Mus musculus: one gene and its partner. The protein of the gene in region 1 interacts with the protein of each later gene in a biochemical or structural test. Links are inferred from orthologs where the notes say so. Each region holds a gene or a part of one and is shown on either strand. Other genes may lie near its edges.

The links.
Region 2: of the proteins of Crebbp (region 1) and Carm1, one has a biochemical effect on the other in vitro, tested with the Homo sapiens proteins (4 studies listed by BioGRID, with this or other methods). The link is inferred for Mus musculus from reciprocal best matches to the Homo sapiens genes CREBBP and CARM1.

The regions. Positions count from the first base shown.
Region 1 is NC_000082.6:4,112,357-4,116,002, reverse strand, and holds part of Crebbp (histone lysine acetyltransferase CREBBP), read left to right. Parts: intron 1-45; coding exon 46-225; intron 226-1,039; coding exon 1,040-1,229; intron 1,230-3,646. UniProt on the Homo sapiens protein: Acetylates histones, giving a specific tag for transcriptional activation. Mediates acetylation of histone H3 at 'Lys-18' and 'Lys-27' (H3K18ac and H3K27ac, respectively).
Region 2 is NC_000075.6:21,545,594-21,549,339, reverse strand, and holds the start of Carm1 (histone-arginine methyltransferase CARM1), read right to left. Parts: upstream 2,447-3,746; 5' UTR 2,333-2,446; coding exon 2,110-2,332; intron 1-2,109. UniProt on the Homo sapiens protein: Methylates (mono- and asymmetric dimethylation) the guanidino nitrogens of arginyl residues in several proteins involved in DNA packaging, transcription regulation, pre-mRNA splicing, and mRNA stability.

The sequences.
Region 1 (3,646 bases):
TATGGCTCTCCTTTACAGAGGTGAATGACTGTGATTTCTTTGCAGCTTTCTCAGGCAGCAGCCAGCATTGATAATAGAGTCCCTACTCCCTCCTCTGTGACCAGTGCTGAAACCAGTTCCCAGCAGCCAGGACCCGATGTGCCCATGCTGGAAATGAAGACAGAGGTGCAGACAGATGATGCTGAGCCTGAACCTACTGAATCCAAGGGGGAACCTCGGTCTGAGGTAGATGCTCCCTCAGCCTTAGTCCATAGCTATGTATGGCAGCTTTACCATATATCCTCAGGACCTAACGTGGTGTTGGATATTCATTTTAACTGTTCCAGTTTTCCACAAATCTTTTTGTTAATGTTCTTCTTTCATTTTTAGTTCTGCAGAAGGGGTGGTAGATTCATTTACTGACTTAGAGCAGAAGTTGAAATCAGTAGGCCAAGAGCCAAATCCAGCCTGGGAATGTGTTTTGTTTTTGTGGGGGTTTTTGTTTTGTTTTGTTTTGGTTTTTGGTTTTTGGTCTGTGTTCAGTGTTTTAAAAATCATGAAGTTATAAATAAAACTTTAGATAGTCTGCTTTTTCTCAAAAGTTGAGCAACTCTGTCATCAGTACCCTTATACTCCTTTATGGCAGCCAGTGTCATACGTGATGTGGGTGCCACATGGTAGTGGCATGGGCTTCCCAGTTGGTCCAAGTCTCATATCACACTCTTCATCTCAGAGCACAGGGTCTTGATCCTTATTTTGATTTTTCAAGGTACCCTTATTTTCAAACTAGATGTACCAATATTTTACTGAGCATGTAAACATACTTTTATATTAAAAAAATTAAATTAGAATTATGATTGTACTGATGCTGTATAAAGTAACTAAGTAGACATCAGACATTTTGTTCCTTTTCCTAGTGGGAAACTAAAAAGAATATTTACAGTGTCTTTGACTAAGGGAGCACTCAGCAAGCTTGTGTGCTGCAGTCGTCAAGGGGAAGCTGGCCTGGGTTACAAAGGTCTCATAGACACCTGTTCTCTGTGACTCTGTCTTTCTCAAGATGATGGAAGAGGATTTACAAGGTTCTTCCCAAGTAAAAGAAGAGACAGATACGACAGAGCAGAAGTCAGAGCCAATGGAAGTAGAAGAAAAGAAACCTGAAGTAAAAGTGGAAGCTAAAGAGGAAGAAGAGAACAGTTCGAACGACACAGCCTCACAATCAACATCTCCTTCCCAGCCACGCAAAAAAAGTAGGTCACGTTTTCTGTAATGTTAGACTAAGCTGTGCTTCCACACCAAAGATTAAAAGCTGAGGCAGGAAAATAATTACAAATTCCTTTTCATGTTCCTTGTCTCTCATTCTCTAAGCTTTACCTTTGGAAATGGAGACAGCAGGGTGGCAGAGATTGCTGGGCAAACATGAAGCCCGGGGTTTGGATTCTAGCACTCGTGTAAAAGGTTGGGTGTGGCTATGCACACGTCTCTCTAACTCCAGCACCGGAGGAGTGGGGCTGACACAGGAAGTTGTAACTTGCTTGCCACCAGTCTAACTCCAGACTCAGTAAGACCTAAAGGAATAAGGCAGGGAACCAGTTGTACACTAGCATCCATGAATGCATGCAAAGGTGTGTATACCTGTACACACTCAAGTACCATAGACAGCCTTCCCCACATCCACACATTCACAGAGAGAAAAGTAACAGTAACAGACTGCGGCTAGGGAGCCAGCCCTCAGATGAGATGTCACTGACTAGAGAGGCAGACTTGGAATGCTTCTGGGTCTCTGAGCAGGGTAAGCAGTGTAGGTTCTGCAGAGCCAGGGAAAAGGTGATGAAGGAGTCAGGATGGAAAATGAGCAAAAATGCTGTAGTTTGAGACAAAGGATCACTGTCGATATCTGTGTGAGCACTGGGGGCCAGTAAGGAGCTGTGACTGGGCATGAGGTGGGAATGTGAAGCCACAGATGTGTGCACTTAGCTCAGGACAAGTAGAAATTGGGTATAGTTCGGCTAAGCTGTGTCCACAGTAAAAAGCAATAGGGTGTTGGAAAATTGTCAAGTAACCCTTGCTTAACAGGACTCTGGAAGTTGAGAGCTGCAGGTGAAAGACACGTTTCAGAAAGAGTACAATGTTGGTGGCTGAGGTAGTAAAGCTGCAGAGCTAGGAAAGGCACCTACTTCTTTTATAGTCGCCGGGTCAAAGAGGTTTTGAGTATGTGGATCATCTTGTCATTACTTTTTCCTTTTATGAAGTAAACCAGAGGAAAAAATATTTGATTTGTTTAAATTAATAAGTTTGTTAGTGGTATCATTTACCCCACCCCACCTGGAGAATAGAACCAGAACTCTACCTGTGGTATTGCTAGCCTCATTTAACACATTTGTACAAAAAAAAAAAAATCTTTTCCAAGCAAAAATAATCCAAAAATAGGACATTATTTTGTAATCTTTCAATGTCTTGAAGAGAGTTAGGCAACTAAATTAGACTCTTAAGAATAATATTTTTGGGGGGGTGGGTGGGTATGGGGGACTTTTGGTATAGCATTGGAAATGTAAATGAGCTAAATACCTAATAAAAAAAATTAAAAAAAAAAAAGAATAATATTTTTTGTGCGGGCGTGGTGGCACACGCCTTTAATCCCAGCTCTCAGGAGGCAGAAGCAGGCAGATTTCTGAGTTTGAGGACAGCCAGGGCTACAGAGAAAAACCCTGTCTCGGGGCGGAGGGTGGGGGGGAGTAATATTGTTTGAACTGTGTGAGGAACATCCATTCTCATTCCAATAACTTACTAGTGATGAGAGGAATGATACGTGGCTCTTTGGGGTAACTGGGGATAGATACTCTGGTAGATGCTTCAAGAGACAGCTAGCAGAGGCTCTCGAAGGTGAGTTGACATCATCCTTTGTGACCTGCAGAGTGCTAGGTCATTGAGTAAGTGCTGACATACCTGATGCTGTAATAACAACCCTTCCACCCCCGCTCCTCCAAATACTCACATTATCAGTTTCATAAAGCAAATCTTAAAAGGTTTTGAGAAATATCAAGCTCATGTGGCAGATATGTTTTTAAAAACATTAATTGATGACAACCCCGATTTTACCCTTGGCAACAAATACTGCCATTTGTCCTTAAAGTAACAGCTCACTTAGTTTTTGGTTGTGTTTTGTTTTGTTTTTAAAGAAAACTCTGACACAGACTAGAATTGAGTAACAGTTTTCTATCTGCCACCCTCCTTAAGATTTCTGTTTTCAGGGAGAAAAGCAGTTCCTGCTCTCAGCCCCAGTGCTGATGGTGCTGCTGGTTCCAGAGACTTGATCACAGAGCAGCATGGAGGCACACGCATCAGGGATGTGCTCAGCTGGCTGCCAGTCTTTTTCCTCTGAGTAGAGTGGCCACAAAAACTGAAAGAACCTCCCATTTTTCTTCTCAGTTAGTACTGTTGACATAGTGTATTTCTGCACTCTTCGGTAGTTTAATCTCAAAGACCCCTCAGTGAGGCTTTGCACAGTGCTGGAACAGTCAACAATGATAGATATGTTGTCACACCTGTGCTTTATTTTGTTTACTATCTGCCATGTGGGTCTTAACTACTTAAGTTGTAACAGGGTTGATTGGTAAACTGAATTGTTTAGTTTATGTAAAACTGCTTTGTTGAGCCTTCAGTATCA
Region 2 (3,746 bases), on another chromosome or scaffold:
TTGAGGGTCACATGTCAGAAATCCTGCATAGCAGATATTTTACAATTCATAACAGTAGCAAAATTACAGTTATTAAGTAGCAACTTAACTTTATGTCTGGGGGTCACTACAACATAAGGAACTATGTTAAAGGGTCACAGCATCAAGAAGGTTGAGAACCACTGGCCTAGAGGTGAATATCCTTTCTGGCCCCCAAAAATGTATCTGGGACTGAGGATTTGAGAAACATGGGTTTCTCTCCAACATCCTTTCATTTATACGTAGTCCATTTGTAGAGGCATGTATGTATATGTAATTCTGTATAACTCTCAACATTGTCATTATTTGGGGAAGGAAAGCGTCAGAGACTCTCAAGTAATAAAGTCTGGCTTGAACATCTGTCTTTTGTCCACCTCACTTGTGCTCTCTTTTCTGAGGACAAGATCTCACTTTGTAGCCAAGCAGCTCTTAAACCGAGATCCTCCTATAGCCAGGCATGGTGGCATATACCTTTTATCCCAGCATTTGAGAGGCAAAGGAAGGAAGAGCTCTCTCTCTGAGGCCAGCCTGGTCTAAATAACTAGCTCCAGAACAGCCAGGACTATGCAGAAATGCCCTGTCACAACAAGAACACAAACTGTAAAGTCTCCTCTGTAATAACATTAGCTTCTAATAGATGAAGCTGGGCGTTAGAGACTATGTGGGAAATAACAATTCTGTAAATAAGCTCTATAAAAACGGTGTTTTTATCAAGTTCATTTAAACAACCCAAGTTACCTGAACTTTGTCTTGGTGATTCAGACAGGATTTGCCCATGTCACCCACACTGTACTCAAACTTTGAATCCTCCTGCTTCAGCCTATAAAGTATTGGGACCACAGGCTTGTCCATCACACCCAGGTCCCCAGAACACTTTCCAGGTAAGCCCTGGTACCCTGGCTAGCCAAACACCACTGGCTTGCTTAGGGGTCTGTAGTCCTAAAGAGCTTCGTTCTTTAGTCTGTGAAATTCCCCTTTCTCTCGTGTGATCAAGGAGACCCCAGCTCTGCCCAAGCCCCCAAAGGTGCCCCACACTTGGGAACCAGACACTTCTTTCTCCTGTGTGTTTCAAAGTCAAGGCAAAGAGAGGAGAATCAGTCTGAACAGACTGCTACACACATTTCCCTTTCCAACAACACCCCATTACCAAGGAGTAGAAAAAAATTCCCACAGGTTAAAATCGATCCCATCTTCCTTGGTGGCCCCTTAAGAGCATCAGTGAACGAAATCCTGGGAGACAAAGACCAGTGAAACACAAGAGCAAATCCATCTGAGGAATCCGTCAGAAGAAAGAGTAGCAAGAGCAAGGAAGAATGAAAGGTGGAACTACAAAGCTGGGGGGGGGGGTGCACTTCGAAAACACACTAGTGATCCCCCCCCTTGTTTTCCCCACTGAAATGTCAGTTTTTGAAGCAGCTTCTGATAATGTCACCAGCTTCTCACGTTCTTAAAAAAGACAGGAGGCGCGTGGCGAGGGAGGTGGCTTGTTACCTCTTGACTTCTAAAGCCGGCCATCAGCCAGCCGGCCTTCCCCTCTTCCACGTTTCCATGGGGGATGGGCTTGGGAATCTCTATCAGGAAGGGCTCTGTCCTAAGTCCCAAAGTTTACCCACCCTGGTGGGTGTGTGGGTGGGGGATCCCGAATCCCAAGTCCTCCACAAGGGCGGCACCCAGTCTTCCCGGTGTTACACACTGAAAACCACTTTTCAAATGTCCGTGTGTGAGGAGGATGTCCCCTGAGATGAGATCCACAAACCACACCCGCTCAAGAGCCCTCCCAATCACTCCCTCTCTCCAGTCCCCTCTACAATCCCCCCAGAATCCTCGGGGCCCCACTTCCTGCCACGCGCCCCCCTACCCCACCCGCTGCAAATCTCAGGCCCGCGACTCTTATTTCCCGCGCCCCTCTTCGGGCTCCAAGGTCCCCACGCACACCCTCTCTGCTATCTCGCCCGCGGGCAGCAGGAGCCGCGTGTACAAGCTCGGCCCGAGTCCCCCCCCCCCCCCAACCCTCCGCCGCCTGCCCCCTCCCCGGGCGCCCGCGCCGCCGGCCTCGTGCGCCGCCGTCCCCAGGGTGTCCCCAGCACTCACGGCTGTAGAGGGCGATGCCCGCCGCGTCTGGTCCGGCGCGCACCTCAAGGCGCAGCGCCTGCTGCTCCGCGTGCCGCTGGATCTCGCCGTTCGCGTCGCCGATAGTGAGGAGGCGGGCGCCCGGGAACACAGACACTGTAGCGCAGGGCCCCGCGCCGCCCGGGCCCGCCACCCCAGCGCTCCCCGCACCCGGCCCCACCGCCGTCGCTGCCGCCGCTGCCATCTTAGGTCCGGCTCCAGGCCCCGCTGCCACCACGGCCACCGCCACCGCCGCACCCGGGCCCAGGCCGCCGCCGCCGCCGCCGCCGCCGCTGCCGCCGCCGCGCAGGCCGAGGCCGAGGCCGAGGCTGGCAGCGCGCCGCCTGCCGGCCACGCGACGCCTCGCCGCCGCCGCCGCCGCCACGGGCCGGCTCGGTGGCGCAGCGCCCCCTCCTGGCGCCTGAGGGAGCCGGGCGAGCGCAAGCACGACGGGGGTGGGGCCGGCCCCACCCCGCGGGAACGGTCGCTGCTTTGTGAGGTGGCTGAGCCTCCCGGGCAGGCCGGGTGAAGGCGCCTACGTTGGGAGGCGGTGCCCCGCAGTATGACACGCCCCCAGGGATGCTAAGCCCCGCCCCGAGGCAGCGTTGTGCGAACCGAGGCGCTTTGTGCCACCGCGCACAGCTCTGGAGAGATGGGCAGGGCATGCGTCGGGAGGCGGTGCTTAGCCTTCCCGGCACGCCCCCGGAATGATCAGGCGGCCCCACCCCCCGCTCCGGGCCGGCGACCGGTGATCCACGGTGATCCACAGCCCTTTGTACCACAGGGCGTTTCAGGAGGCAATGCTTGGCCGCTCGGACACGCCTCTGGGGCCAGACCCACCCACAGGCCGGCAGCGAGCGAACCACCATGCTTTGTGCCACTGTGAGCATAGCTCAAGAAAAGTGGAGAGGCGTGAGTCGGAGAACTAAGAAGAAACGCCTCCTCCAGGGCTGAGCTCCGCCCCTAGGCTGGCGTGCTGCGTACTCCCCCAGTACTCTTGGGGGTGAGGCGTTTGTCAGAAGGAGGCGCTCAGCTACTTTATACACCCGGAGGAGGGCTGGCTCCGCCCCCAGGAGGGACGGTTACTAGCAGAATGCAGACGGTGCTCTGCATCTTTTTGTCAAGGGACGGTGTTCTGATCCACGAAACCCTCCCTCGGAGAGTTCGGGCCCCTCCGGGCCAGTGTCCTGCAAACAACCTCTCCTGAGCTTGAGGAAAGACAAGAACCGTTTCCAAACCCAGGTGATTCGGCCACGCCCCCAAGTTAAGGTTCCGCCCTGTACGTTCCCAGGTAAGCTCCGCCTTGATCCCGTCCCACTGGTAAGAAAAGGCCCTGTGATAGGTGTGCTCTGGTTTGCAGGCTCGCACCCAGCTGGGGCCCCTTCCCATGCTGCTCTGGGATAAAGGCTTTTCAAGCCGCGCTCCAGAGCTTGGCCTTCACAAAGAACTTCAAGGCAGTAACTTTAATTCTTTAGCTTCTCCACTAGGACCTCTCCTTTTCACTAGTTAACTCTCAGGTCCCCCAGTGAACTCACAGTGGCCAGTCACTTGTTCACTTTTGCTGGGCCTCTTAGAACTCTAATTTACGTACCCCCTCCTGGGCCTCCGCAAGACTCACA